Macaca mulatta: one gene and its partners. The protein of the gene in region 3 interacts with the protein of the main gene of each other region in a pairwise test. Links are inferred from orthologs where the notes say so. Each region holds a gene or a part of one and is shown on either strand. Other genes may lie near its edges. The genes, in order: RASSF1, APPL2, SUV39H2 and PNMA1.

The links.
Region 1: the proteins of SUV39H2 (region 3) and RASSF1 interact in a two-hybrid assay, tested with the Homo sapiens proteins (2 studies listed by BioGRID and IntAct). The link is inferred for Macaca mulatta from reciprocal best matches to the Homo sapiens genes SUV39H2 and RASSF1.
Region 2: the proteins of SUV39H2 (region 3) and APPL2 interact in binary tests that used the Homo sapiens proteins (3 or more experiments, as listed by UniProt). The link is inferred for Macaca mulatta from reciprocal best matches to the Homo sapiens genes SUV39H2 and APPL2.
Region 4: the proteins of SUV39H2 (region 3) and PNMA1 interact in binary tests that used the Homo sapiens proteins (3 or more experiments, as listed by UniProt). The two-hybrid records come from large-scale screens. The link is inferred for Macaca mulatta from reciprocal best matches to the Homo sapiens genes SUV39H2 and PNMA1.

The regions. Positions count from the first base shown.
Region 1 is NC_133407.1:113,816,751-113,823,503, forward strand, and holds part of RASSF1 (ras association domain-containing protein 1), read right to left. Parts: intron 6,670-6,753; coding exon of another isoform or gene 6,553-6,669; intron 6,436-6,552; coding exon of another isoform or gene 6,382-6,435; intron 6,264-6,381; coding exon of another isoform or gene 6,126-6,263; intron 6,026-6,125; coding exon of another isoform or gene 5,937-6,025; intron 5,838-5,936; coding exon of another isoform or gene 5,737-5,837; intron 5,472-5,736; coding exon of another isoform or gene 5,213-5,471; intron 4,957-5,212; coding exon of another isoform or gene 4,831-4,956; intron 4,749-4,830; coding exon of another isoform or gene 4,627-4,748; intron 4,516-4,626; coding exon of another isoform or gene 4,390-4,515; intron 4,302-4,389; coding exon of another isoform or gene 4,226-4,301; exon of another isoform or gene 3,928-4,225; intron 3,666-3,927; exon of another isoform or gene 3,639-3,665; 5' UTR 3,625-3,638; coding exon 3,375-3,624; intron 1,065-3,374; exon of another isoform or gene 956-1,064; intron 841-955; coding exon of another isoform or gene 829-840; coding exon 722-828; intron 374-721; coding exon 1-373. Other genes in the region: ZMYND10 (zinc finger MYND domain-containing protein 10), read right to left, coding at 4,226-4,301, 4,390-4,515, 4,627-4,748, 4,831-4,956, 5,213-5,385, 5,737-5,837, 5,937-6,025, 6,126-6,263 and 2 more. UniProt on the Homo sapiens protein: Potential tumor suppressor. Required for death receptor-dependent apoptosis. Mediates activation of STK3/MST2 and STK4/MST1 during Fas-induced apoptosis by preventing their dephosphorylation.
Region 2 is NC_133416.1:112,457,305-112,464,057, forward strand, and holds part of APPL2 (DCC-interacting protein 13-beta), read right to left. Parts: intron 3,463-6,753; coding exon 3,304-3,462; intron 1,890-3,303; coding exon 1,701-1,889; intron 1-1,700. UniProt on the Homo sapiens protein: Multifunctional adapter protein that binds to various membrane receptors, nuclear factors and signaling proteins to regulate many processes, such as cell proliferation, immune response, endosomal trafficking and cell metabolism.
Region 3 is NC_133414.1:16,431,202-16,438,674, reverse strand, and holds the start of SUV39H2 (histone-lysine N-methyltransferase SUV39H2), read right to left. Parts: upstream 4,233-7,473; 5' UTR 4,210-4,232; coding exon 4,179-4,209; exon of another isoform or gene 3,598-4,178; intron 1,605-3,597; coding exon 1,459-1,604; intron 1-1,458. UniProt on the Homo sapiens protein: Histone methyltransferase that specifically trimethylates 'Lys-9' of histone H3 using monomethylated H3 'Lys-9' as substrate.
Region 4 is NC_133412.1:146,881,595-146,889,079, forward strand, and holds PNMA1 (paraneoplastic antigen Ma1), read right to left. Parts: upstream 4,849-7,485; 5' UTR 4,046-4,848; coding exon 2,984-4,045; 3' UTR 2,178-2,983; downstream 1-2,177.

The DNA of each region.
Region 1 (6,753 bases), on a different chromosome or scaffold from region 3:
AGGTTCGCGCGGTGAAGTACTGCTCGAGCTCCGAGTCCGAGTCCTCTTGGCTGCAGTAGCCACTGCTCGTCGTGCTGCTCCAGGTCATCTCGAAAGAAGGCGTCTCCGCCTCGCCCATCGCCGCACCCGCCCGTCCCCCTGGTCCCGCGCGTCCGTAGCCACCAACCACCGCCCCGGTCGCGTGCGTGCGTGTACGCGTGTCAGTGTGCGCGTGCGCCCGGGCCAGCGCCGCGCCGCAACCGTTAAGACTGAAACGTAGATCGCCGGGATCTAGCTCTTGTGTCATTGGGGGAGGAACGCCGGGGCGGGGACACGCACACTTAGCCCCGAGGAATGACCTCATCGCTCCGGCAGCTCCACTCAGAGACCCCACCTACCACAGGGAACGGGGCGGGTGCCAGCGTCCGCGCAAGCGCACAAGGGTGGCCTCTGGCCGGAGGCGAGGGCGGGAAGGTGCGGGAAGTGCGCGTGCGCGGAGCCTGCGTCCGCCTTGGCTGGGGACTGCTAGCGGCTGGGGTCTGCTAGCAGCCGGTGGAGGCCTTGCGGAGCCGGCAATCCAGGCACCCCTCTCAGCCCTCGCTCAGAATTAGCCTCTCTCTGCCGCCGGGAAATCGGCACTTAGAACGCTCCTTGCGCGCAGCACCCAGGCAGTCTTCGAGAATGCCTGCGCTGTGGCCTGCCCGTCCTCGCCCTTCCCATACGCCCTCGGCCCCGCGCTCACCACGTTCGTGTCCCGCTCCACCGCGGGTTCCCAGCCCAGGTCCCGGGGCCCGCAGCAGTCCAGGCAGACGAGCGCGCGGCAGCGGTAGTGGCAGGTGAACTTGCAATCTGCAGAGAGGCCTAGCCGTGAGGCGGAGGAGCCCCAGGTCGGGGAAATGTCCGGGAGATTGAAGGGAAGCCCCAGGAAGAGGGCCGTTGCCCGCCAGGCTCCGCAGGCCCGGCTTCAGTGTTTTACCTTACACTGCTATGCGGACTTTAATGTTGGCCACCCTGGGTGTCTGGAAACCGGCCGGAAGGCCACAGCAGAGGCCTGCTCAACAGTTGGGATCTCTGTCGCCTAGCACAGAGCTTCCCCTTTCCTCATTGGCAATTAAAAAAAAAAAACCAAAAACCGGAGTCTTCCTTTTGTCACCCAGGCTGGAGTGCAATGGCGCGATTTCGGCTCGCTGCAACCTCCGCCTCCTGGGTTCAAGCGATTCTTCTGCCTCAGCCTCTCGAGTACCTGGAATTACAGGCGCCCGCCACCACGCCCCGCTAATTTTTGTATTTTTAGCAGAGACAGGGTTTCACCATGTTAGCCAGGCTGGTCTCAAACTCGTGACCTCAGGTGATCCACCCGCCTCGGCCTCCCAAAGTGCTGGGACTACAGGCGTGAGCCACCGCGCCCGGCCCTTCATTGGGAACTTCTATGGAATACATCTGCCCATTTACTTGAAGGAAAAACTAAACACCTTTAACCTACCTCTGCCCTCTGGTTGTCATCTGTCTGTACTCCCCTCAGACCAAAACATTGGTCTCTATACACTCTAATCCTTCGCCTTCACTCTCCCATCTACCCACTTCAGCCAGGCTTGCCTCTCCCTCCAGGAAACTGCCCAGGACAGGGTCCTCAGCGATCTATGCGCTGCCAAATGGAATGCAGTGTTCCATTCTCCATTCTCACCCACTCAGCATCATTTGAAGCTTGCTCCCTTTGACTCCCAGGGGCTACACTGCCAGTTTTCCTCCTACCCCCCCTGCAGCTCCTGCTCAGCTCCTTTGCAGATTCTGACTCAACTTCCGTATCTCATGATGAAGTCTGGGCTCAGTCCTGATCGCTGGCCTGGTCTGTCTACACAATCTTCTGCCCCAGATCCACAGCTGAAACACTGACCTAAACCCTCAGATTAGATCCTCCGTGCCAGTACCTTCACTAGGATGTCTAAAAGACGTTTCAAGTGAACATGGCCAAAATTTAATTCCCTTTTCTTCCACCTCACTGCTACCCTTGCCCAGCTTCCTCTTTGCAGCAAAAATGGCCACTATGCTCCCGGTTACTGGAAACAAAAACCCAAACTTATCGTTGATTCCTCCCTTGTCTCTACCTCTGATAAACATGCCCAAATCATCCTGCTTCTTATCTCTATGGCCACTTTATTTCTCTTTGAGAATGCTGCAGTGTCCCAGCCTTTTTCTTCCTTCCTTCCTTCTTTCTTTTTTTTTTTTTTTGAGACAGTCTCAATCTGTCCCCAAGGCTGGAGAGCAGTGGCGTGATTTCAGCTCACTGCAACCTCCGCCTCCTGGGTTCAAGCAATTCTCCCACCTCAACCTCCTGAGTAGCTGGGATTACAGGCACCCGCCACCACGCCTGGCTAATTTTTTTGTATTTTTTAGTAGAGACGGGGTTTCACCATGTTGGCCAGGCTGGTCTTGAACTCCTGACCTCAGGTGATCCACCCGCCTTGGCCTTCCAAAGTACTGGAATTACAGGCCTGAGCCACCGTGCTCGGCCCTTGTTTATTCTTTGTATTCTGTCACAACTTTGTGCTCCCCCCAGCTGAATTTGTGATGTCCTCTTGTACCAGATGAGAGGGTCTCCATGCACATACAGACCTGGGACACCATCTATCCACTAGTTCCTAAATGGGTCAGAGCACTGATGCTCAACCCAGACTCCATGTTACAATAATTTGGGGATTTAAAAAAATTTACTGCTGCCTTGAGTCCACTCCCAGCAGCTGATTCAATGGGTCTGAGGTGGCATCCAGGCTAGAGGGTGGGAGGGCTGTAAAAGCGCCCCTGGTGATTCCAGCTGGTGTCTAGCTAGGGGAGAGCAACCTTTGCTTGCTGGCGATTCCCAGGGGTGCAGAAGGACTGCTGGGTGTGTGGCTGCCTTCCATATTTTAGCTTCTGATTCAAGGGTGTTTGCTAAATACTCAACAAAACTCCTGCTTGCAGGGGGCACACCCAAGGTTCTAACTTTTTCCAGGCTCCCTCCCATAGGTGGGTAACTTCCCTTCACCCCAAAGGTTCTGGAGGGGGTCACAGTGAGTGAATGTTTGAGAAGAGGCAAGCCTGGGAAGATGGACTCCGAGGACAGTAGGCACAAACCCTTTCTCAAGAAAGGCCAAGGCATTTTAAAGATAAGAAACTTGAAATCAGCATATTTTTACATATAAGCTGCCACCTCTGCTCATCTGTGCCCCATATACGAGTGGAGTGCGACAAGGGATAAACCATTTTCGCGCACTCTTCAGCGATGGGGCGAAAGTAACGGACCTAGTCCTCGGGAGCTGTCCCCACCGACCACCTCTGCCGCGACTTGACCCGCGGCGACGGCGCTGCCCCTTGGCTGCCCCTTCCGCTCTCGTAGGCGCGCGGGGCCCGCTACTCACGCGCGCACTGCAGGCCCTTGCGCACGACGCCCCAGATGAAGTCGCCACAGAGGTCGCACCACGTGTGCGTGGCGGGCCCCGCAGGCTGGAAGCGGTGGCCACGGCCCGGGACCAGCTGCCGTGCAGGGTTGCACGCGGTGCCCCGCGCGATGCGCAGCGCGTTGGCACGCTCCAGCCGGGTGCGGCCCTGTCCAGCGCGCCCAGCGGGTGCCAGCTCCCGCAGCTCAATGAGCTCAGGCTCCGCCGACATGGCCCAGTCGGGCCGGTGCTTCGCTGGCTTTGGGCGCTAGCAAGAGCGGGCCGGGCGGGGCCACAGGGCGGGCCCCGACGTCAGCACCGCCCCCAGGATCTAAGTTGGGAGGCGGGAAGGAGCTGAGGAGAGCCGTGCAATGGAAACCTGGGTGCGGGGACTCTGGGGCCCGAAGGCGGGGCTAGGCGCGCTCTCGCAGAGCCCCCGCCTTGCCCTTCCTTCCCTCCTTCGTCCGCTCCTCACACCCCACCCCGGATGGCCACAAAGACGGCGACCGCAAAGCACCACACGGAGATACCCGTGTTTCTGGAGGCCAGCTTTACTGTGCTAGAGGAAGAGGGTCCCCACATCCGGCCTTCGCCCTCCTGGCCCAGTTTGCTGAGGCAACGCACTTGGCCTGCCCACCAGGTGGGGCAGGAAGTCTCGAGCCTTCCCTTGGGGTGGGGAGGAGGGGGATGGGTCAGCAGCTTTACCGCTGGCTCTGCTCTCCACTGCGGAGACTGGGGCTCCGGCAGAGGCTGGACCGTGATCTTGAGGTTCAGGGGTGCATTCTGGGTGGATTCCCTTGGCATAGGTGGTTGGCCCTCAGCAACTGCAACCCTCATTTGGCTCTGTCACCCTGGGCTGCCAGGACACAAGTCTTTCCATGCTTTTCCCAGTGCTTGACTTGGCACTCCCTGCAGGCAGGTGGGTGTTGAGGAGGGCAGTGCATGTGGGGGATGTGGCAGTAGGACTTAGGGGTCCAAGGTCCTAGGATACCCTCACCTGCAGCAATACCACTCATTCTGGCATCGCGAGCAGCGCTTAGAAGCCTCTGCACTGCAGTAAGCACAGCGGGGCCGCTCTGGAGCCACTGCCTCTAGCACGTCCAGCCTGTAGGTCTCAGCCCACCTGGGGGAAAGTCAGGAAGATCTGACTGGCCTTGGAAGGTGGGGGCATCCCTGCCCACATCCATGCCTCCTGCATCCCATCCACTCCTCCTGCCAGTTCCACAGGACTTACCTTTGTGCCTGCAGCCGCAGGTCCTGCTGTGAGGGGCTGAACACATGTTGGAGCTGGTGCTTGGCAATTGCCTGCCACTTGCCTCTGTTTTCTCGCTCCAGCCGCTCCCAGATTTCTGGGATCTAGGGAAAGGAGTGGAGAGTGGCAGGAAGGTGCTGGTAAAGTAGGACAGTGGTCCTGAGGAGCTAACTTTCCAGTGTCTACCTGTTCCAACACCAGGTCCTTCTTAGGGGGCTGGGTTTCAGTCAGGGCCAGATGGGCCAGGAAACTCTGCAAGTGGGCCAGGTTGGGCAGCTGGTCCAGTAGTGTGTCTGTGAGGAAGGCCCGAAGCTGCAAGAGTGTCCAGTGGAGGCCAGTGTGATGCAGGTGCTGGCCAGGGGGCCACGGAAAAGGAAGGGGCTGGGTTGGGCTGAGCATGCCTGTGGGGGTCCATGTCCCACTAGCTGGTGTGTCACCTGAGGCCCAAGGACTGAAAAGAGCACGGGGTTTGAGGTGGGTGGGCAAAGATAAACAGCAGGGACAGGGTCAGGGTAGGATGGGGAGGGCGGTGCTGGGGCTGTGGGGGCTGGTGCAGAGGGAGTCCGACCTTGAGTAGCTGTCCCTTGGCAAAACTTGTGAGGCAGTAGCGCGCCTGGGCCTCAGGGCTTAGCAGCAGGTTGTACAGGGCTATCCACACTTGCCCGTCCAACTTGCTCAGCTTTTGCTGCTCTGAGGGGGCCACAGTATGCCAACGGCTGCCCTCGAACTGCTGCAGCTTGCCTGGGGAGAGGAACCAGCACACTGGGTACAGGCATTGCATTCTCTTCAAGTGAGCCAGCTGTGGGGCCTGGGAGACTGACCACTGCCTGGGAATGGTGGGAGAACCTGGGCCACAGGACTTGCCCAGGCTATAGTGCTGCTGACCCCAGAGCAGAGTGAGCCTCAGTAGTGGACACATGGGCCTGGCCTGCTGCAGAGCTCAGGTCTAGGCCACTCTTGGCTGAGGCATCCTGGTATCCTCAGATGGGCTTGGGGACGGGGTTTGTCTTCGTGTGTGCAAACTGCCCCCTCTATCAAAAAGATATCCTGAAGCAGTAGCCTGGGGCTTAGGCTGGTGTGGGAGGACCCTACCTCCTTCCCGCCGGTTCCAGGGACTATGCTCCAGCAGTTCCACCAGGAGGCAGGGCAGGTTGTGTGTGCTAAGCATACGGCTCAAGGTGCTGAGAGAGAGGCTAGGGGCAGGGACGTTGTGAAGGAGGTGAGCAGAGGCAGGCTACAGGCCCAGTCTTCCAGCCCTCCACGGTAGGCCCAGGCCCAGTCGGACTGCCCACCTGTCCACACAGTCTGTGATGTAGCGCAGTACTGAGAGGGCCTTCAGTGCAATCTCAAATTCCATCAGCTCTGCCTGCTTCTGCAGCTCCTGCGAGGTCACACAGTGTTCATGCTGGGCTACCCTTGCCTGTGCAGGCCTTGGGGAACCCAGACCTAGGCTTTCACAATCCTAGGTAACCTCAACCCACCTGCATGGGGTTGCTGTCCTGGGACCCCTCCCCTTCAGGGGGGCCACCACAGCCACTCCGGGCCACCAGCAGAGTCAGTTTGCGGTGGCAATAGTCTACCAAGTCCAAGACAGTGTCTTCTGCTGACTCACACACCTCCTGGGGAAAGGGGGAGGGAAACTTTCTGTGTCTGATGCCCTCCCCACACAGATACAACCTCCCTTCCTGCCAGGCCCTGACCTGAAACTGTGGCCCATGGGCAGAGATAGTCCCTCACCTTGTGGAAGAACACTGTCTCCAAGAGGTTGATGATGGAGGCCTCGTGGTGCACCTGACAGACAAAGAGAGGGACAGGGCCTGTGGTAGGGATAGGGGCTACCAGCTCCCCTCCCCAGTCCAGAGCCCTCTGAAGGAGTGGGAGGAGGTATGAACCAGGGGCCCAGCTCACCACCATGTAGATGGGAAAGGTGTTCTGGGGCTTGAAGTCCTCCACCCTGCAGAGCACGGGGAACACCTTCTGCTTCCACATCTCCACTGCGATCAACTCCTCCACCAGCGTTGGGACCTTTGAAGGATGGGGTAAAGGACAGGGATGAGATGGGCCTACCTTTGCCTGGCAACCCTCCTATCCCCAGCTTGGCTCAGCTCA
Region 2 (6,753 bases), on a different chromosome or scaffold from region 3:
GTGATTGTGCCACTGCACCCCAGCCTGGGTGACAGGGCAAGACCCTATCTCAAAAAAAAAAAAAGAAAAAAAAGAAAACGGGCTTGTAGATCTGGCTCTCCCTGATTCACTGTGTGATCTTGGACAAACACGCCCTTTCCCTGGGCCTCAGCATATTCTTCTATGAAATCAGAAGGTGGGACTCAGATCTTCTAGCCCAAGTCTTTGATTCTACAGTGAGATTCATCTGTCGACCTCCTCTAATGATCCAAGATGACCAGGACTCCAAGCCCAGCCACTCCTCCACCATGCCCAAAGAAGGACTTGGCAGCCCATTCACTCCTTTCCCAGAACTGAAAAGTCTGCATATGGAGGCCTGGGAATAAGGTAACAGTAATACTGCCCTACCTTTGTGGAGGCTTTAACTCTATTTTTTTTTTTGAGACGGAGTTTCGCTCTTGTTGCCCAGGCTGGAGTGCAATGGTGTCATCTCGGCTCACCACAACCTCCGCCTCCTGGGTTCAAGCGATTCTCCTGCCTCAGCCTCCCAAGTAGCTGAGATTACAGGCGCCCACCACCACTAACGCGCCCGGCCAATTTTGTATTTCCAGTAGAGACAGGGTTTCTCCACATCTGGTCATGCTGATCTCAAACTCCCGAGCTCAGGTGATCCCCCCGCCTCAGCCTTCCAAAGTGCTGGGATTTCAGGCGTGAGCCACCGCGCCCGGCCGAGGCTTTACCTCTTTAAAGAGACTCCACATCTGCCGGTTCCCTTGTTCCTCTCATCTGTGGCAGATGGGGCAACATAGATCTTACTTCTATTTTCTATCTGAGGAAAGTGAGGCCCAGAGGAGGTAACTGCAAAGGACCATGATGAGCATCCAGGAATCTCCATTCCCATCACCAAAGCAGGAAGGACGGGGTCTAAAGCTGCTCTGCCAAGCTGGGAGGACAGACATCATCCCAACGCCGTCCCCACCGCGCCCCCCTGCGGTTCACGTCAAATCTTAATAGAATGCAATGCCAGAAGAGCAGCTCTGATGACGGGCAGGGCCACTCCTCTCCCCAGGCAGGTGAACCCTGAAGCCCCTCCATGGGACTCTGAACTCCTTGGGGCAGTTTAAAAACCACTGCTCTGAGAGGGGATCCCACTGGGACGGGATCTACTGTGAACGACCACAGGCTGTGGATCGTTAAAGTACCACCTCTTTGGGGCCCCTCAGGTACACAGGGCGTGTGGGAACAGCATGGCAGCCGCCAATACTGCTGCAGCGGAGTGTACTTCTCACAACTCCCGCTTCTGCTGGAAAAATGGCCTTCTCAGGAAGGTCGTCCTTACCAAAATGCAGTTACCCTCCCCTGCCACAATCCAAACACAAATGCTTCTTTACAACAGGCTAGGAGTCGCTACAGCCTTCTCTCTCTCTCAGAATCTGTGCTAACACGCACGACTTCTGTTGCTGTCTCACACATGTAGGTCATCTCCAAAGCTACAGACAAACCCTCACTTATCTCCATATGGGATAAGACAGGCTGGATCCCTTATGGGTCACGTGGGCTTGTTTAAAGAGAGCAGAAAATCATCCTCCTGAAAGGTAAACAATACCCAGACTGGGGCCTCTCCCACAGAGGGCTGGCACGTAGGAATGAACTAGGAGGCCCCTGGCACGGGTGAAACCACTATACTCGTTCTCCTCCCAAATAAAACGCGTGAGACATACGATTTTCCATTGGGTGTGGTGATCTGGAAGCAGTAGCGCCGGTCTTCGCAATCCACGGCCATTACTGAGCAGTTGTCCAGGTCCTGGATCAAACCTCCAGCCACGGCTCCCCTGGGCTGACACATCAGATTCCCGCCTTGGGTGAAGAAATAAAGCCTCTCCCAGGTGGTAGTGACCAGCCCTGTTTTGCTGTGGGTTGTGTTTTAAAAAGCCCATTAGTACCAGAAAGCACCAGCCGCACCTCTAAGTCTTGCTGCCTCGTTATGGGTACTGGTGGCATTTTAGAAATAATGTGTTTCTTTATATCGTTAAAGCAAAACTGCCCATTCAAGTAGAAAGAGCAGCAGAAGGGTACAATTTAGCTAGAATGATCTGGGAGATCACGGGCTCTGCTTCCAAGGGAGATACCAGTCCCAGGGCCGACCCCGCACTGCAGCCACACGCTGACTACTAAACCAGGAGATGGAACTAGAATGAGTCCACCACCATGAAGAACTGAACACCTGGAGAATCATTTCTCTGAGACCTGGAGCTGAGCTGCTCTGAATCTACTCACGGTTGCCTTCGCCCACAGCACCCACCGGTCCTAGGAGGCTCTCAACAGATTTGCTTTAACTGAAGGTCATTCTTGTTTTGTGGGCTGCTTACAAAAGGAAAATCTAGTTCCTGGCAAGTAACAACAGAACCCAGTGGGTTTTCTACGCCTGCAGAACTCCAGGGGACATTTAGCTTGTGATCGCTGCAAGTTCCCAGACCTTAGAGGTGCTCCAGCCTGCTAACAGCTGGCAGTTCCTCTCCATGGACCCTCCACTGGGGGTTTTCAAATACTTTACTTGGCTCAGTATTTACAGAGTAGCAACTATGTCCAAAGGCACTGGTTTTCCTGTCCCAGTAATTTCCCCAAATGGCAGCGGCTGACATCTGAGTGCTCACTGCCTGGGAGGGATGAACACATTCAATCTAACTTCATAAAGCAGGTGCGGTTATCAGCTGCATTTTACACATGAAGAGATCAAGGCTCAGCCCAGCTGGGCTGTCTGATTCCAAAGTCAGTGCTTTTCACACCACACCATGACAATATCCTCTGCGCTCACAGAAGCACTTAAACCTGATCATCCCTTCCATTCAAAATGGACACTTAAAGACCCGAGTGGTAAATGTGTGACCCAATCAGTATGAATCGAACTGACTCTAAAAGCCTTCTGACGCTGCCTCTGGCTCGCGGGTAGGTCTCCAGCACATGGCTCTCACCCGCCAGCTGGTGTGGGGGAAGTGGCATGACGGGATAAAAAATGTCAGTGGTCCAGGATGGTAACAGTTAAGAGTGGTCTGTTTGCACATGGCCACAGTGACCAGAGACAAGGGTGGGCCACAGTGTCCTGGAGTCTACAGCACCGGGCTCTTAGAGGACTCATTCCAGCCCCATCTCTTAGGGCCCCAGAGGTTTCCTATGTTGCAAGTGGGAGGGCTGCTGTGATGGGAGTTCTTCCCAGTCTCACCCGCCCACCTCCCTCCGACTTTAATGGGGCATGTAAGATTGCTTTTCAGCCACTTCTTAGGGAAAACTGATTTCAGAAAAAGAGGCAGACGGTGGCGTTCTCACTTTCTGAGATTAAGGTAACCAGCCTTCTGGATGAGGTTCCTGTTGATCTGTGGTGCGGCCACATCAGAGTCTGGAGTGTAAACAGATTCATCAACAGAGAGGAATTCTTGCTGGGACACCCGCATCTTTTCCGCCTCGGCTTCCAGTTCTACCTGAATGCTTAAGACAGAAGGTGTTGGGTCAGTTACTCACTGCTGGCCAACCCAGCACTACTAAGAAGCCACTGGCAGCCATCACTCCACCCCCGCCAAGCTTCCGGCCTTACAGATGGAGCTGCCAGCCTCCTACAAGGCCACAACCCTCTACCCTTAGGCCCTGAAAACTATGAATCACAGGGACTCAATTTTGCAGTAGTAAATGTGTCTATATGACTGCTGTTTTAAAACAGAACCTAAGGAATGCCACTGACCTATGCTTGAACCCAGCTGAACAGTTTTGCTGCTGACAGAGGTATCCATGCTTAGCACCGCTGATGCACATTTTTGGAGAAAAGCTTTGAGAAGCCCCTCCTCCAGGGCTGCTCACACAGGCAGCCTAAGCAAGTTCCAAGAAGGAAGGAATGAAATGGTAGTCAGGCCTCCCCTGCTCTTGGTTCAGGCAGGAGCGGTGCTGACAGGAAAATGACCAGGAAGTGGTACTAAGGTGCAACCACAAAGCCAAAGGCAATGCTTTTCCTTTTCTAACAGCCACAGATCTGCCCCGAGGCTGCGTGGGCTAGCAGGCCGAGGGCTGCCCACACAGGGGTAAGTGGACAGATGGCCTGGCTCTGGGACATTAGCCCCTGGTTTTCATGGAGGTGTGTGCTGACGTGTGGAAATGGTGGCTGCCCTTTACCCCTACTAAGCTAGACCTCACCAGGCCACCCCACCCAGTTGTGACAGTCTGCCCAACAGGGCCCATCCATCTGAGAAATCACACTTTAGAGGAGGCTTCCTCTGCACTGTGTCACAGGAGACACGGCAATCACAGGGTTAAAATCAGAAGCAAACGGGGGGCCAGTGTTTCTCCACGTGAGCACCTCAGGATTCTCTCTCTTCTGTAATTAAGGAATGTTGGCTTGGGCATTCCATATTTCCCCACTCCCTATCTATCTATCTGTCTGTCTGTCTGTCTGTCTGTCTGTCTGTCTAGACTCCTGCTTTGGCTCGCTACAACCTCCGCCTCCTGGGTTCAAGCGATTCCCATGCCTCAGTCTCCCAAACAGCTGGGATTACAAGCATGCACCACCATACCCAGCTAATTTTTGTATTTTTAGTAGAGAAGGGGTTTCACTATGTTGGCCAGGCTGGTTTTGAACTCCTGGCCTCAAGTGACCCACCCACCTCGGCCTCCCAAAGTGTTAGGATTATGGCCGTGAGCCTCCGCTCCTGGTCAGCTCCTCATCTTTAATGCAGCTCAATTTTGGCTTTTCTGACATTTGACTGGGATGATGGGGGACTCTACCATTGGTGGCCTTAGGACAGGTAAGCTGGAGGACAAACTTGATTAGCTTCGCCTGCTTGTCACTACCCTGGCTGAGAGAATGGAACGTGGAAGACCAAGCTCAGCACATAGGACAGGGGAGGAGAAAGGGGGAGGGGAGAATGGGGAGGAGGGACCAAGAGCCTGTCAAGAGCTCAGGGTCAGCTTTTATGGGTGAGAAACCTCTTTGAAGATGTGATACAAAAGAAGGACCCCGTCCCCAGAAGGACACGGGCACCAACGTGGCATCTTGCGTACAACCCCAGGAGATTTTTAGTAGCTGACCTGCCTTCCCCTTCTCCCCTGCCCCACACAGACTCAGGCTCAAACACTGGGAGCTCATCCAAGGTTCCCGGGAACCAAAGGAACATGGTTAAAATTAATTGCTTTCAACTGGTTCTCTTCACAGATATTTAAAAAAAAAGCATGTATATACACACACACACACACAATTATGTATCTGTTCATCTATAGATATGAGCTGCAGAAAGGTAGAACTGTATCACTATAGGGTTAGGGGATAAAGCTCTGCGGGGTGGCTGGAAACCATGCCGTGCTATCTGGAGTCCCACCACTGGGTTCTGAATCCACCCCCACCGTGAAAGCACAGAGCACCTGTGGCATCATCCCCCGGGGAAGGGCTGCACAGCTTCAAGGCCACCACCAGATCCTGCTCTGAGGCCTCCCTGGGTGGGCTGGCCGCTCATGCATGGCAATGCAGCAGCAAAACCACCCCTTGGTTTGGAGAAGAGCGGTCATATTTACTCACCAACATGAAATGAAAACTTATAGGAAAAGTAGCACTCAAAACAGTACTTTAGTTATTCAAATCAAGTACTGCAAGGTTCAGTTTGGAAACCCCACCAGCTGCCTGTCACCCCATAGCTAAATACAGCTTGTCAGACAGAGGGGGTGACTCGCAGAGCCAGCCCCAGCCGGCACAGAGAAGGCCATGTAGCCCAGGCGCAGCCTCTGACGTTAATGCCCGGGTTGTGGTTCTCTCAGGATGGCTGGTGCTATACTTGGGTTGGCCTAATAATGGTTCATGGAAATGCTGACAAGAAGGGAAGACACAGGCTCTAAGATCTGCAGAAAGAGGAAACCACGACATCTCACACGCATGGGCACAGATGTCCTCCTACCCATTCAGAAAATAATCAGGTGTGTGAAAAAAATTGAGGCATAGATGATGGTTCTTCCAGAAACATAGAAGGCCGAGGAATTCTGAGAGTTAAAGCAGGATGAGGAAGAGACAGTGAAAGATGAGGGAGAGAATGGGAGAAAATTTTTGCTATCTACTCATCTGACAAAGGGCTAATATCCAGAACCTACAAAGAACTCAAACAAATTTACAAGAAAAAAACAAACAACCCCATCAAAAAGTGGGCAAAGGATATGAACAGACATTTCTCAAAAGAAGACATTCAGACAGCCAACAGACACATGAAAAAATGCTCATCATCACTGGCCATCACAGAAATGCAAATCAAAACCACAATGAGATACCATCTCACACCAGTTAGAATGGCCATCATTAAAAAGTCAGGAAACAACAGGTGCTGGAGAGGATGTGGAGAAATAGGAACACTTTTACACTGTTGGTGGGATTGTAAACTAGTTCAACCATTATGGAAAACAGTATGGCGATTCCTCAAGGATCTAGAACTAGATGTACCATATGACCCAGCCATCCCATTACTGGGTATATACCCAAAGGATTATAAATTATGCTGCTATAAAGACACATGCACACGTATGTTTACTGCAGCACTATTCACAATAGCAAAGACTTGGAATCAACCCAAATGTCCATCAGTGACAGATTGGATTAAGAAAATGTGGCACATATACACCATGGAATACTATGCAGCCATCAAAAAGGATGAGTTTGTGTCCTTTGTAGGGACATGGATGCAGCTGGAAACCATCATTCTTAGCAAACTATCACAAGAACAGAAAACCAAACACCGCATGTTCTCACTCATAGGT
Region 3 (7,473 bases):
TTGAGACCAGCCTGGTCAACATGGTGAAACCCCAACTCTACTAAAAAGTACAAAAATTAGCCGGGCATGGTGGCAAGTACCTGTGGTCCCAGCTACTCAGGAGGCTGAGACAGGAGAATCGCTGGAACCCAGGAGGTGGAGGTTGCAGTGAGCCGAGATCACACCACTGCACTCCAGCTTGGGCGACAAGAGCGAGACTCCGGGTCTTTAAAAAAAAAAAAAAAAGTCCTAGAAGGGGTAGATAGGAAGAAAAAAGAAAAATGGTGGCACCTCTGGAAGTAAGAATAAGTGAACAGCTGGCGGTGAAGGTAAGTTGAGAGTTTACACATGAAGGATCCTATTTTTCATTGAGGTAGGAGGTCTTCAGCAGAAAACAAGAAATGGGTAGAGTAAGAAACCCAGAAAAGTAACACAAGTTGGAAAACCTGCTGACAAGAATGGGAAAAGCAAGCAAGATTAAAAGCTCGTCAGGTAGAACTGAGCAGTGTGAGAACAGAAATAAGTTATAATGGGGCTGATATGCATGATTGTATAATATGCTCAGCTGGATTGGTCAGTCCATAGGTTGTAAACTGAGATGGCAGATGACTGGGGCTGTTTCAGGGGCTGAAGGATGCTGAGAGTGCCGGTGAAATGCACGAGCATAAGATCCCACTGAGCGGGGAAGGCAGTGATACTAAAGGAACTTGAAAGAATGGGATTTAGTGACTGATTCAATATAGAAGATGAAGGAGGAAAACAAAGACTTAAACAGGATTCCCGATTCACTTATCAATAGAATTGGTAGATTAATGACCAAAACAGTTCTTGGAAAGAGAGGTAGGCTATAGACAGATGAATTACTCAAAAATATAAAGTTTAGATCAAAATATCTTTAGAGAACAACTCTGCCATTTTTTAAGAGCAATAAAGGCAGGCTTAGAGAAGTGAAACGAGTTTGCTTAAGTTCTAAGGCACTAAACAAAAGCTGGAAATGACTTCGTAATCCAGGCCATTCTGTTATAACCTAGAACCTGACTAAATCTGGAGTTTGACAGGATGGCAGGAAATGCAAATGGTGATGTTCTTGAGATTCAATAACACTAAAATTGGTTTGAAACGGTAGGTTCATTTCAGGTGATAGTGGGGAAATATGATCCAGGAACAAAACGAAAGACAATTGGAGATCAAACATTTGCTCTGGTAACCCACATGGAGATAATCAAGAGTTGGATGTAGAGTGATATGAGCACTAATACGAGCACTAAAATATTCTAATGCAAGAACATTGTAAGCTTCAAAATCCTCTCAATGCTATTTGGCAACACAGATGACAGGACACATAAATTTATTATGGCTTAGAATTTTTTAAACATTAAGAAGAGCTTTTCTTACTTTTAAGGTTCTTTTTTTGTTACAGAAATATGAAATACTGAAGTCTGATTAGGTCTCTTGTAAGGGGCTAGACATTTGCCTTACCTTTACTACCTTGTAGTCACACAAGTATTCCACCTCATAATTGTTTAGATTCCTTTTGGTGATTCCAATCGATTTACATGTGAGCTTTTCTTTTCTACATAATTCCTGAAGAGTATCAAGTGAAACTAGGCAAGGCACACACCAAGCTACAATAAGAAAATAGAATTCTTTACTAATGAAATAGCTATTCAATTAAAATAAAAAAGAGAAAAACCCTCTATTCCCCAACTTTCAACTGGCAATTTTAGACTAAAAATTCCTATGACAAGAAACCAATTATGCGTCTTCAAGAAAAAGTTAAACATTAAGGAACTATTTCGTTAAATTGGTGTTCTTGGATTTTCTCATGGATTTCTACTCCACTATGTTTAACTGACATCAGTTGATTTCCATTAAGTCACTCGAAAATGTTTCATGTCTGTAAGCTTTTTAAAAATTATATGCAGATGCAGGTCAACAGAGGTAGTGTTTCTTACTTTCATTGTATTCTACATAGACTATAATCACTATTTTAATAAAATGTAAATCTCTAGGACACTTATTCTTAAAAACACATCTAAAATATACTTTAAAACAACATTATAATTCGTTAACACATAACTCATTTTTTTTTAACTGGACAAAACTGAAATCTAATAAAAATATATTTCTACGTTACAAACTCATATGTTAGTTTTCTCTTTGAAATGTTGCATGAAGCTTTAATTCCACTTATTATTTTACCCATACTGCAATATATTATCACCAAGGTGAATAAACTCGAGTTATTAAAAAAATGGAGAGTATATTGATATTTTGTAATACTTATTGACTGTATTGTTTTTAAAGCCAAACTTTTAAAACGGTGTTCAATTTACATAAGCCATGTACTAAACTCAAAGAAAATTAGACATACTTATCATCAACCCTCCAGAAGCCAGAAACTAATTGTGTTCCAGAAGATTTGACCCTCAAATTTCTGTAAGTAGCATGTTACCACACTGAATTTAAAGTGTAAATTAACAAACACGTTTAGGAAAATGGAACAAACTTGGTGTTAGCGCTAGTGTCATGGTAAGCACTAGACAGGATCAAAAGTCCTCTGCCCTACCCATCGCTCAGCCACCGAGCTATGTGACTTTAGTGAGGTCTCAATCTGTCTGGCTGTCACATTCACTGGAAAAAAATGGAGAAAACTGGTGTTACCAAACAAAATCTATCAGTAAACTCAAGCTTTACTTGGTAGCTCTCCAAGGTAGTTGCGATCACCTTTTATGTTTTGAGGTAATTTCAGGAAAGGGAGAACACTTGTTAGCAGCAATAACTTTTCCTGCACCCTTTCCTCATCCTCCCCACCTCACACAGAGACTACTTCATTGTCAGAAACCCTTAAGCATAATTTCCACCATCTCACTGGCTGCAAACGACTCCATCCTAAAGCAGTAAAGAGAAAGGTATTTTCCTCCAGAAAACGTGGGGGAAGAGGCCGATTGCTTTGGAGTGGTCGTTTGGGGGTAGGACAGTGATAGGAGAGAAATGACCCCGTAAGTCCCTTCCATCTAAAAAAACTAGAGGACGTTTTGTGTTAAGCTGACCTCACTAAGGGGATCACGTATAAAGGTGGTTCCTCTTGAGTATCTACCCAAGGTGTGTTTGTGTGCTTTTCCTAAACATTTTTATCTAGTTGAGGATTCAAAACACAACCCGCAAAGGAAATGCTCTTCGAGAATTTAAAGGAAAAAAAAAAGTGAACATGAAAAACTGCAAACACGTGGTTAAAAAAAAGCAAAACGACAATCTCTCAAGTCTCCAGTAATGTAGAAAAATATTTCACTGACAAAATTAAATAGTTCATGACCACCACAAACACCTTCCGCTAGCTTAGTTCACAGTAACCCCTGACATTCTCCAAGGAAGAAAAACTCGGGGATAATGAGGTCATAATCCAAGTGGAGAGGAGGCGAGCTTGAAAACACCTTTACATTCCAGAACGCACGGAAAAGTTCCAGGCTCTCAAAGCGTGCGCGACACCAACACCCCCCGACGCCCACACCCACGCACGCTCGGTGCCCAATTCCCCAGCGTCCACAGAAATAACACCAAGCTCCCGGTGGGTGGAAGAGTTACCGTAAGCCAGAGGCTGCAACCTCAAATACCCACTTTCTGGGCGACTCTCCAACGAGGCACTCAACCTCCTAGCGTGTCCGCCTTGTGGGGGGGGGGTTCCTCGGTTATCCCCTTAGCACACAGGAGCCCCGATTTCCTCTCCCCCTCTGATATTAAGGTCATGTTCACGCCGGCGGGCGTCGCTTCCCGCCTCCCACTTCAAAGGCCCGGGCGCATGCCGCACGCCGCGCTCGAACCACCACAAAGGAGCCAGTCGCAGCCGGGCCCCCGGGACCTCCAGCCGGGGACCGCCGGGGAGCGGCCCCGACCCCCGAAGCCACCACGGGAGACGCCAAGGGGGCCGGGCCGAGCGGGCGGAGAGGCCACGCTCCGCAGCCGAAGCGCCCCAGGCTCGCGCAGTGCCCACCTCCGCGGCGGGAGCCGGCCGGGCAGGGAGGCGGGTCAGCGGCCTGGGGGAGGGTAGGCGCCCGCAGCGTGCGTCCCGGAGTCGGGGGCGCGGCGGCCGGGGAACCGCCACGTCGCCGTCTGGCTGGCCCGCGGGACGGCCCCGCCGCCCGGGCCTTGGGAGCTTGCCTGGGAACGGGGAGGGCGAGGGGGCCGCGCTCCAGCCTCACCTCCTCGCGCCTCGGCCCCGACCGCCGCCATCTTGTGGAGCTTTCATTCAAACTGGCGCGGTCTGACGGGATAGCTCAGCTGGCCCGACGCCCCGCCCCTGGCCGGCCCGCGCGGGACTTGGGGGCCGGGGCTTGTAGGGGGGATGGAACCCGCACGGCGTCCTGACGTCACTGGCGGCCGACCCCCCGCCGCGGCGGTCAGCGCGCCTGCGCCCCAAGGGTAGGCCCGGCCCCAAAAGCGAGGAGCCGAGCGGGGCGGAGCGAGCGCGCGCGCGTGCTTTGGGATGCTCTGCGGTGTCCGGCGCCCATACCCTGCGCCAGGCCCGTTTGGCGCATTCACTCGGGAGGACGTCGGCCAGGGACGGTGCCTTTCGGGTCCGGTTCCGCAGCCACCGCAGCTCGGCGGGCCATGGTTAGGCTCCCCCCGACCCCACTTCCCTAGAGCACCGGGCCTCGGAAGCGGCCGCACATGGGCACGGCTGGAGAGGTTCCGCTGGCTTGGTGCAGTCGCCGGGATTCCGACTGGTTGGTGTGGGGTGTGGCCTGTGCTGCCCAGCTCCCAGCTGATCCTAATGTGCGGCACAGCTGAAACCGCCAGTCTCCATCAGTGCTTCTCACACTTAAAAGGGGTTTACGAATCGTCGTGGGGGGGAGGTGCGGACTTGGAATTTTTTGAGAGATGGGGTCTCACTCTGTCACCAAGCTCAAGTGCAGTGGCGCGATTACGGCTCACTGCAGTCTCGACCTCCTGGGCTCAACTTTTAATGTAAATTGGGACTGGGTAGGTCTGTAAGGAGACCCGAGCCCCCCTCCCGTGTTGTTGACAAGCTCCTGAGCTCGGCCTGCTGACGGGTGGGGGCCGGGAGGAAGAGGACTTGTTGGTAAGGAGGCTGCAGGGCGACTCCGGGGGCCTCCCACCTGGTCTCCACCCCCTCCCCCCAGCCATTCTTGACGCCGCATCCATATGACTGTTTTAAACAACCTAAAGCAGAAATCTTAGAGCAAATAACGAAAACTGGCAGAAAGCCATTTGATGTCTACTAAGGACTTAAACGCAGACCATTAAAGGACTGGTTATTTGATTCCATTATGAAATACTGTCTAGCCGTCTTAAAAAGATGTTCATGAAGCTTTTAGTGTTAAGCAAAAACAAAACAAATCCCCCTGAAATATAGTTTTAACTAGGAAAAAAATGTATAGGAAAATAACGAAATACAGCCTTTCGAAGTGATTTTAACTTCTCGTTTTTACATATTTAATCATTTTCTACGATGAGCATCTCACTACCTTGATATAAGGAATAAAAGGCCCTACCCAACCCTATCACCTGGAAGAGCATCCAGGCCCTTTAAGGCGTAGTCTATCTAGGATTATGCCTTCAGGCCCTTGAAGATACAGCCTCCCGTCCTAACCGACCCCAAGCACTCATTGCCTCTCCTGTATGTTTTCAGAGCCCTCCAAGGAGCGGCCTTCGCTACTCACTGGTCATTCCTGAATCCCTTTTTGGCTCCTTTTCCTCAGTCCAGCCTGGGTTCCTCAGGGAAGGGACTGTAGCCCTGGGACTGCATTTCTCATCCGCCCTCTCCCTATGTGACTGCCCCGATTCCCATGGATTTAAATTGCATCTTGACACAAGATTCCTAACTTTTTGTCTCCAACCCTGGCCTCTGCCCTGAATTCCAGGCTAGAATATCCACAGTGCCTAATGGACATATGCCCTTAGGTGTTGCACAAACATCTCCAATTGAACATATCCAGAAAAATACACTTCTGGACCTTAGTCCAGGCCATCATTGCTCGACTGAAGTCCTACAACAGCTGAACTGTTTTCACTTCCACCACTGCTCCCATTCAATCCATTTTCTAGGCAGCTGAAAAAATGACCCTAAAATATAAAGAGGAACAGGCCTTTCCCCCCGCTTTAAGTACTTCCCAGCACATTCAGAATAAAACTCAAACCTCCAGTGATTGGAATCCTGTCTCTAACCTCACTTTGTGCCACTCCCCTTTACTCATTATTCTCCAGGCCTTTCCTCGGCCCCACTCACCCAGAAATCTTTTACTGTGCATCTCCTATGTGCCAGGCACCTGATAGGTGCTGGGAATATAGCAGCGGATGAGAAAGACAAAAGACCCAGTCCTCAGGGAGCTGACTTCCCAGTGAGAGGAGCAGCGGATAAAGCAAATCACTGAAGGCAGCTGTAAATTACTTTCCGGTTCAGAGGACAGGCTCCTTCCCCTCCTTACATGGCTACCTTCAGATCACTTGGGTCTCAGCTTAAACGCCACCTATTGACAGAGGCCTCGCATGTTACCTAATTCTTTAGCCCTACTTGGAATCCTTAAAAAGCACTTATCAAAATTTGCAATTATCTTGTCTAGTTTTTGTTCTTTGGTCTTGATTAGTTTCAGTAAAAACTTACGTAATGAATGTATGGCACCATTTTGTAAATTCAGTGTTTCCTTTGTTTCTCGTCTTGAACCTCATCCATTCCAGCGCATAGATGAGGTCCTGTCTGTCCAACGTTCAGCACCGTGTTTACTATCTAGAGCAGGAATTCTCCAGGTATGGTAATGGGGACCCCAAGACCCTTCAGAGGGTTCATGAGCACAGAACTATTTTCAGACCAACATGTTCCCTGCCTGCCTTGGCTCATGAGTACACAGTGGAATTTTCCAGAGGTTACACAATTTGAATATTGCAACACGTTGAACGAAGAAGCAGATACCAGAACATAGCTATCTTCTATTAAGCCAGACATTAAAGAGACTTGAAAAAATACAAAATACTGCTTTTGGCTAGGCAGAGTGGCTCGCACGTATAATGTTAGCACTTTGGGAGGCTGAGGCAGGAGAACTGCTTGAGACTAGCCAGGGCAACCCTAATAAAAAATTAGCTGGGCGTGTTGGCAGGTGCCTGTGGTCCCAGCTACTCAGGAAGCTGAGATGGGAGGATCGCTTGAGCCCAGGAGTTTGAGGCTGTAGTAAGCTATGATCAAACCACTACATTCCAGGCTGGGCAACGGAGCAAGACCCTGTCTCAAGACAAAAAACAAAAAATAAAACCCTAGATATCACCCTTGCCACTAAATTTTTGTCTTAGAAAAGTTATTTCTCATAAAAATGTTATTCATATTAACTTTTATGTTACTTAGAAATAATTTTTAAAATTGGTTTTAATTTCCATATGGTAACTACTTATATAGTTATATAATTACATTTTATGTATATGTAACAAGCAAAAACTCTTTGGGTTCTCCAAATGTTATTTTTAAGACTGTAAGGGGGTCCTGGG
Region 4 (7,485 bases), on a different chromosome or scaffold from region 3:
AATCCCAGCTACTTGGGAGGCTGAGGCAGGAGGATCACTTGAGCCCAAGAGAGAGGTTGCAGTAAGCCAAGATTACGCCACTGCACTCCAGCCTGGGTGACACAGCAAGACTCCGTCTCAAAAAAAAAAAAAAAATGTAGTATGTGTGTATATGTGTGGAGTGGGAGTGTGTACATATATGTGGTGGCTCGTTGGTGTTTGGTGGTGGGAGTGTGTGTGGGTGTGAGGAGAAGTGGGAATGTATGTTGAGGTTGGGAGAGTGGCATAGTGTACATGGAACGGGAGGAGGGTGTATGTTATCCGGGGAGTACTGAGGGGGAGATGACAGTGAATGTGTCCAGAGTGTGAGAGGTCGGCTGAGTGCATGCCTGATGCTGGTGGGAATGGAGGGGAAAGTTATGTGAATGGTGGGTAGCGGGTGAAGACATGCTGAGTGTTTGTGGTAAGTGAAGCTGAGCGTATCTGTTGGGAACCAAGGCAAGTATGTGGAGATGTGTTTGTGACAGGAGGAAAGGGATGTACAGACGTGAAGCGAATATGTGCACCGAAAAATCTGGAAGAACATACATTACCCCTTATAAACTTGTCGAATGGCTCAGCTATAATTTTAAAACCTTATTAGGGAAAAGCTCACTGAACACAATATTCATGTAGTAACTTTAGATTCACTGAGGACCTCAAAAGATGGATATCTTCAATCACTGAATCTTTGCCGCAAAAAAAAACATGTTTTATAGCTGTATTTCCCTTTTTATATCTTCCTGTTATAAATGGCTGCTGTAAAATAAGCCGTCATTTTACACAGGTGTGATGAATTATAGTTATTTCTTCAGTGAAATAAAATGTTTAGCTGAAAAGTGATCTTAAGAGAAAAACATTGCCAGATAACCTCCTGAACCCCATTTCAAGATTTTCTAAAAAAAATTTTTTGAGAAACAGGGTCTCACTTTATCACCAGGTTGGAGTGCGGTGGGGCGATCATGGCGCACTGCAGCCTCAACCTCCTGAGCTCAAGCAATCTCCCACCTCAGCTGCCTGAGCTGCTGGGACCACAGGCCTGTGCCACCATGCCTGGCTAATTTTTAAAAATGTATGTGGAGATTGGGTCTGTGTTGCCCAGGCTGGTCTCAAAATCTTGGCTTCAGGCAATCCTCCCTAAGTGCTGGGATTACAAGTGTGAGCCACCATATCTGGTCTCTAAATTTTTTTTTTTTTTTTTTTGAGACGGAGTCTCGCTCTGTCGCCCAGGCTGGAGTGCAGTGGCGCGATCTCGGCTCACTGCAAGCTCCGCCTCCCGGGTTCACGCCATTCTCCTGCCTCAGCCTCCCGAGTAGTTGGGACTACAGGCGCCCACAACCGCGCCCGGCTAATTTTTTGTATTTTTAGTAGAGACGGGGTTTCACCGTGGTCTCGATCTCCTGACCTTGTGATCCGCCCGCCTCGGCCTCCCAAAGTGCTGGGATTACAGGCGTGAGCCACCGCGCCCGGCCTAGATTTTTTTTTTTTTTTGAGACAAGAGTCTCACTCTGTTGCCCAGGCTGCAGTGCAGTGGCGCAATCTCGGCTCACTGCAACCTCTGCCTCCCAGAGTGATTCTCCTGCCTCAGCTTCCCAAGTAGCCGGAATTAAAGGCACCCACCACCACACCCGGCTAATTTTTGTATTTTTAGTAGAAAAAACTAGATGGCTCATGCCTGTAATCCCAGCACTTTGGGAAGCCGAGGCAGGTGGATCACTTGAGGTCAGGCGTTCCAGACCAACCTGACCAACGTGGTGAAACCCATCTCTACTAAAAAAATACAAAATTAGCTAGGTGTGGTGGCACATGCCTGTAATCCCAGCTACTCAGGAGGCTGAGGCAGGAGAATCACTTGAATCCGGGGGAGGCAGACGTTGCAGTGAGCTGAGATCGCTCCATTGCACTCCAGCCTGGGCAACAGAGCAAGACCCTCTCTGCCCTTAATAAAAATAAAAAATTTAAAAAATTAAAAAATAAACCAAAAAAATGTTAAGATGACAGCAAGAGGGGAAGGAAAAAAAAGGACTTGCCATTTAAATTCACATAGTATCATACAAAGCTTAAGAGTAAAATAAATGGTTTAATGACAAAGTCTTCATAAGAAAAAAGGACAGAGTTTACTTAGGCTAAAAATGTTTATACATGCCAGAAAAATGAGAAGACAACAGAATTTTTAAAATATTTTAATTTGTATATATAACTTCAAATTTAGAACACTCAGTATGAACAAGAACTATTCTCTGACAAAGATCTGAAATGGGGAAGTGAATTACTGTACAGGTGCATATCAACCTCTCCATGCAATTTACATCTGTATCTTATGCAATGAGAAACTGGTTTACACAGCTCCGTAATTGCAGTATTTTTTTAACACCCCATTTTGCAGTCTCAGAATACTTTTCAATTAAACTGATCGACATGTTTAAAGATGAGAAATATGATGTTTGCATTGTAAAGTTGAGTAATAGCTAATAAATGCACATTTCCTTCCATCAATATAAATCTGGAACTATTTATGGTAAAGAAAAATCTATCTGCGCTATCAGTAATCTAATAGTTCATACTTTTACTGAACACTTCCTGTGAGCCAGGCCCCGTAGTAAACATCTGCACATGCAATTTCACATTCAGTGTGGAATAGGAAGTGTCAGAGGTTCGTGTGTTTTTCACAACTGATTATGATGTCCATGATGACAGCGTGCACTAAGCGCTGTGTCCAACCAACCCTTTACCTGGCACTTTAGCCAGCAAGACCCACTTGCATTGTAGCAGCTCACGGTGCTCGCTTGCACAATTTTAGAATGTTACATGAATACTCAGGCCTGACTAACCTTCCCCTCCAAAAAAACAACAAAACGGAACAGGGCTAAGCCTTTACTACTCAGAGACACATCTGTAAGACCCCCACAGGGACAAGAAAACTAGCTGTGATCTAGGTCTGCACTAAAGCTGTCTTTTCTGGCACTCAGAAGTGCCCTTCCAGGCCTAACTGCAGAAGGGTGGCCTCAGCCTCCTCCTCCTCCTCCTTGGCTTCCTCCTCACGGATCTGCACCAGCAACTGAAAGAGGTTTGGGGCCGGCCCTTCCCCAGCCCCGGTAAGCCACAGCTGCCTTCGGATGGCCCCGCTGTGGTTGGCCCCAGCAATGACCTGCTCTAGGCGGGCCTGGTTCACGTTATCTTTATCAATGGCCCCCTTCTCTACCACCTTCTGTAGCAGAGGCTCCAGACGAATGACATAAGCAGACAATTTTTCTCCCGGGTTCTGATAAGTGTTCAGAAATTTGATCTGGGCATCCCTAGAGCTCTCAACGCTCCCAAACACCTGCTCAAGCGCCTTCAGGCATTCGGCAGTGGTTATCGCGGGGTTGTTGGACTTGAGGATGCGAATGACATCAGCGGCAGGGCCTCTAAGGCTCTCCATCAACCGCCGCCTCTTTTCTACATCGGACACCTGCCACTCCTCTAGGACCTCATTAGTGTGCTCCAGCCAGGGATCAAAGGTTTCCTCTCCAGGCCCTGGGATGTCCCTCCCCGAGAAAAGTGTCAGCCTCTTGTACCATATGGACTCAACAAGAGGCTGAATAACATTATCCAAAATATAGTTTAGCATCTCTGCTGGCATCTCTGGGCCCGGGGTCGGAGTAGGGTTCTGAAACCCAAGGACACGGGCAACATCTTGCACGGTCCACCCCTCTCTAGCTAGGAAGAGGTGCAATCTTTCTAAAAATTCAGCATCAGAAGTTGGGGGCTTAAACAACACTTTCCAGACCCCTCCTTTGCCCGGCATCTCCCTGGGGATCGCGGCGTAATCGACAGCGCCAGTGAGCTCTAATAAGGCTGCTTTCGCATTTTCTTCCCTCCAGAACATTCTCCCAAGCATTCGGTAGGGGACCTGGGGCATCGCTGCCTGGAGGGTCTCTTCGATTTCAGCCTCATCACAGTTCACTGGGATGCCCCAGACCAACAGAGCTCTCTGGGAGTTCACATCCATCCCCCGGCACCAGTCTTCCAACAGTGTCATCGCCATTTTCTCAACTATCAAGACGCCAATTCTACCAACAGACTGTGGCTCACCGTACTCCTGGCCTTAGAACAATACCAGACACTCCCACCAAGTAGGCCCAAGGGAGGTAGGCTTCATGCATTCACGACTAACAAAGACACAGAGTCCTGATCTCGCCCTTCTCTGCCCCCCCAGTCAGTCCGTAGGTACACTTGGAGCTGAGCTCGGGGACGCTGAGGAAGTCACGCGGCCGTCGCCATCTTGCGTCTGGGTCCGGGTCCGGTCGGGTCTGCCGCTTGCAGCCGGGCTGTCGCGTCGTCGTGCAGCGGGCAAGGAGCGAGGGCGGGCGGCGAAGGCAGGCGCGCTGGGTCGAAAGCAGCCGGGGTGTGGTCGCGGGGCGTGCCCGCCGGGCGCTCGCTGCGGCTCCTGGAGAGGATCGGGCGTTCGCGGTCGCAGCCTGGTCTTCCCGCGGGCGAGGAGCGGCCGTTTGGGAGACTAGCCAGAGGGAGAGACTGTGCCGAAGTCGCGGCGGCTGCGGGCCAGCGGAGAGCGGCTTCTTGGAGGGCGTGGGGACTCCTCTTGGCGGGCGCGGGGACTCCTCTGGGCGGGCGGCGAGGACGGCCGAGGACCAGAAACGAAGGCAGCAGAGGAGCAGGAAAGCCGGAGAAGCGAGGCTGGAAACAGCACAGGCAAGGGTGGGCAGCGGCGGCCGCGGCGGCCTGCAGCGGCTCAGGCGCTGCGCGGCTGCCCCAGCGTCGAGTCCTACCCGCAACCCGCTGCGACGTTACTGCTGCAGTGGAGGATGGGGCCAGCCCGCGAGCGGCGTCAGCCCCGCCCCGTCCCGCCCCTGTGGCGGAGCCGCTCGGGCGTCGCCATGGCAACGGCGCCCCAGCTGGCGCGAATCACGCCTGCTCCGGCGGCCCGCGGGGGTCGAGCGGTTGCCATGGTGCCAGCGAGGGGCTCGGGCATTTGTTTCTCTGATGGCGCATTTCCTTTTTCATAATTTTCCATTTTAACAGCAAACAAATACTGCTAAGCACCGTGTTTTAAAAATAATAACCCAATCCTGGAGTGGATTTAAGATGATACTATTGGAAGTCATGGCATCCCTCATGGTGGACTTGTCTACTCGGGTTGCCCAGCCAGTCCACCCTGCACGTGAAAATACTCTCCTCAGAACCCTGGCTTCCCGTTACCCCTGACCACACTGTGCACCCTGCGTATTTTATCCCAATGAAGCCGGAGTGCGCCATTTTTTGTGTGAGATACTGAGTTTAGACTTTTTCTTGTCTAAACTTTTGTAAACATCTGTTTGTCTGTGTCTACTGAGTCATCTTTTAGCCAGGCAAACATTAGTGTTATTTTCCTTTTCCTGGCTGGCATCGACAATAGGCTGCTAAAAGAGAATCCTTATGGCTCAAAAATGTCGAGTAATCTCCCTGCAAGCAAGACAAGGCCCACTTACATCAACCCCAGATGGTGAAAATCCCGAGAGAACATAGCATTCAACTCTGAATTTTTAAAACCTTATTTAATAAAAGGTTTAAAGATACAGAAGAACATTCAAAAGTAAATAAGTTACATAGGTACATTACAATCACATCAGCAAGATTCTTTAGTGTATTAATTTTTTCTTATAAAAAGCACACAAAAAATAAAATCTTCAGTCTCTATCACAACTGTACAGCAAAAGAGGTAATATTTATATGTATGTACACTATTTTAATATGTAACAGTCTTTTTCAAAAAGGGTGCCACAGGCAGCAAACACACAAAAGGCAGTGTCTGATCATTTTTGTTTCAAAATAAAAGGAATATACTTATTTATATGCTATTAAAATATTTGTACAATAATTACAGACTGTCAAGGCTGTTCCTGTGCTCTGTCCCCTCCAACAAGGCCTTCAACTTAGAGACAAATGAGGAAAAAGTGAAACAGCTGCAAATTGTTAGAGGCAAATATTAACATAGCAAAATGTGGGGAGGACACAATTGTTTTATAAAAATATCCCTACTTCCTGTAAACCTATGGAGTTAGGCTTGCCAGTCTGATAATAAATACCGTCCCAGAAAAGCGAGCCCCAGTGAAAACAACTAAACAGCTGAGGCTTGAGCATGTGTTGTATTCCTCCTTCATCTTAACATCTGGCACATGAGAAGAAAGAGGTTAGGTCACTGAGGCAGTTAAATATAGGCGATCCCTTTAGACATAAGCAGCAAAAGACCTTGGTGCCAGGAGTGGAAGGGGGCGCGGCAGAAGGGGTGGTATGTACCTTAGCTGTGAGGGGGGCTGCTGAAGGCATGGAGGACAGTAATGATGGCTCTGCCTCCTTGGATGGGTGGAGACCTCAGAAATGGTCTGCAGCACAGGCACTAGGTCAGTTTCCCGCCCTTAGCTGAATGCAGATGGATGCTGGGAGATGGATATGGTGAGATGGTGTGGGGAGGATGTTAAGAAAGCTGGAGGTGTTTATCACTTCTCAGAGCTCTGAATATAGGGAAAAAAACAACAAGAGACAAGCCCAGGGAGAAAGCACCATTAAGGATATACCTATGCCAGCTTCTATAGCTGCACCTACTTTATTGGCAAGTCACTTGCCACAATTACATCTACCCTCTAAACTTTTTAATTTTCACACTGTATCCAAGACATGAATGCATCCTGGAGCATGGACCTTCCTAAAATATGGTGTCTGGCAGGATTAATGCAGAGAGGTACCATCTTGATTTTCCCCAGTTACATTCACCGGGTCTGGTCTCTGTACGCTTAGAAGAGTAGAATCACTTTCTTGTTTAAACATTTATGGCCGGGCGCGGTGGTTCACGCCTGTAATGCCAGCACTTTGGGAGGCCGAGGCGAGTGGATCACCTAAGGTCAGGAGTTCAAGACCAGCCTGTCCAACATGGCAAAACCCCGTCTCTACTAAAAAAAAAACATACAAAAATATTAGCTGGGTGTGGTGGTGTGTGCCTGTAATCCCAGCTACTCAGGAGGCTGAAGCAGGAGAATCCTTTAACCCGAGAGGCAGAGGTTGCAGTGAGCCGAGATCGCACCACTGCACTCCAGCCTGGGCGACAGAATGGGACTCTGTCGCAAAAAAAAAAAAATTTTTTTTCCAAGTACAAGATGTTACCACTGAACAAAAGGGTCTCCTGAATGATGGAGGTTTCTGTTACCCTATGTCCATAAAGGGGACTGAAACCAAATATGGTTTGAATAGAAAAAACCTTGGGAAACGTAAGTAGCACTTTGGGGCTAAGCTGCGAAGGCACTCGTATTATACAAGTAATTTCGAAGAGAGCCTAAATTTGCTACCCCCCTGCTTCTACAGGGTATACCAGATTTTTGCTGTCTTGGGATACTGAGCTCATGGAAACCTGTGGAGGAAACTAACCGGGAAGTTGGGGATGTAGGTAGTCATCCAAGAGTCTGCAGGGAGAAGAAATTTGTTACTTCCACAGCC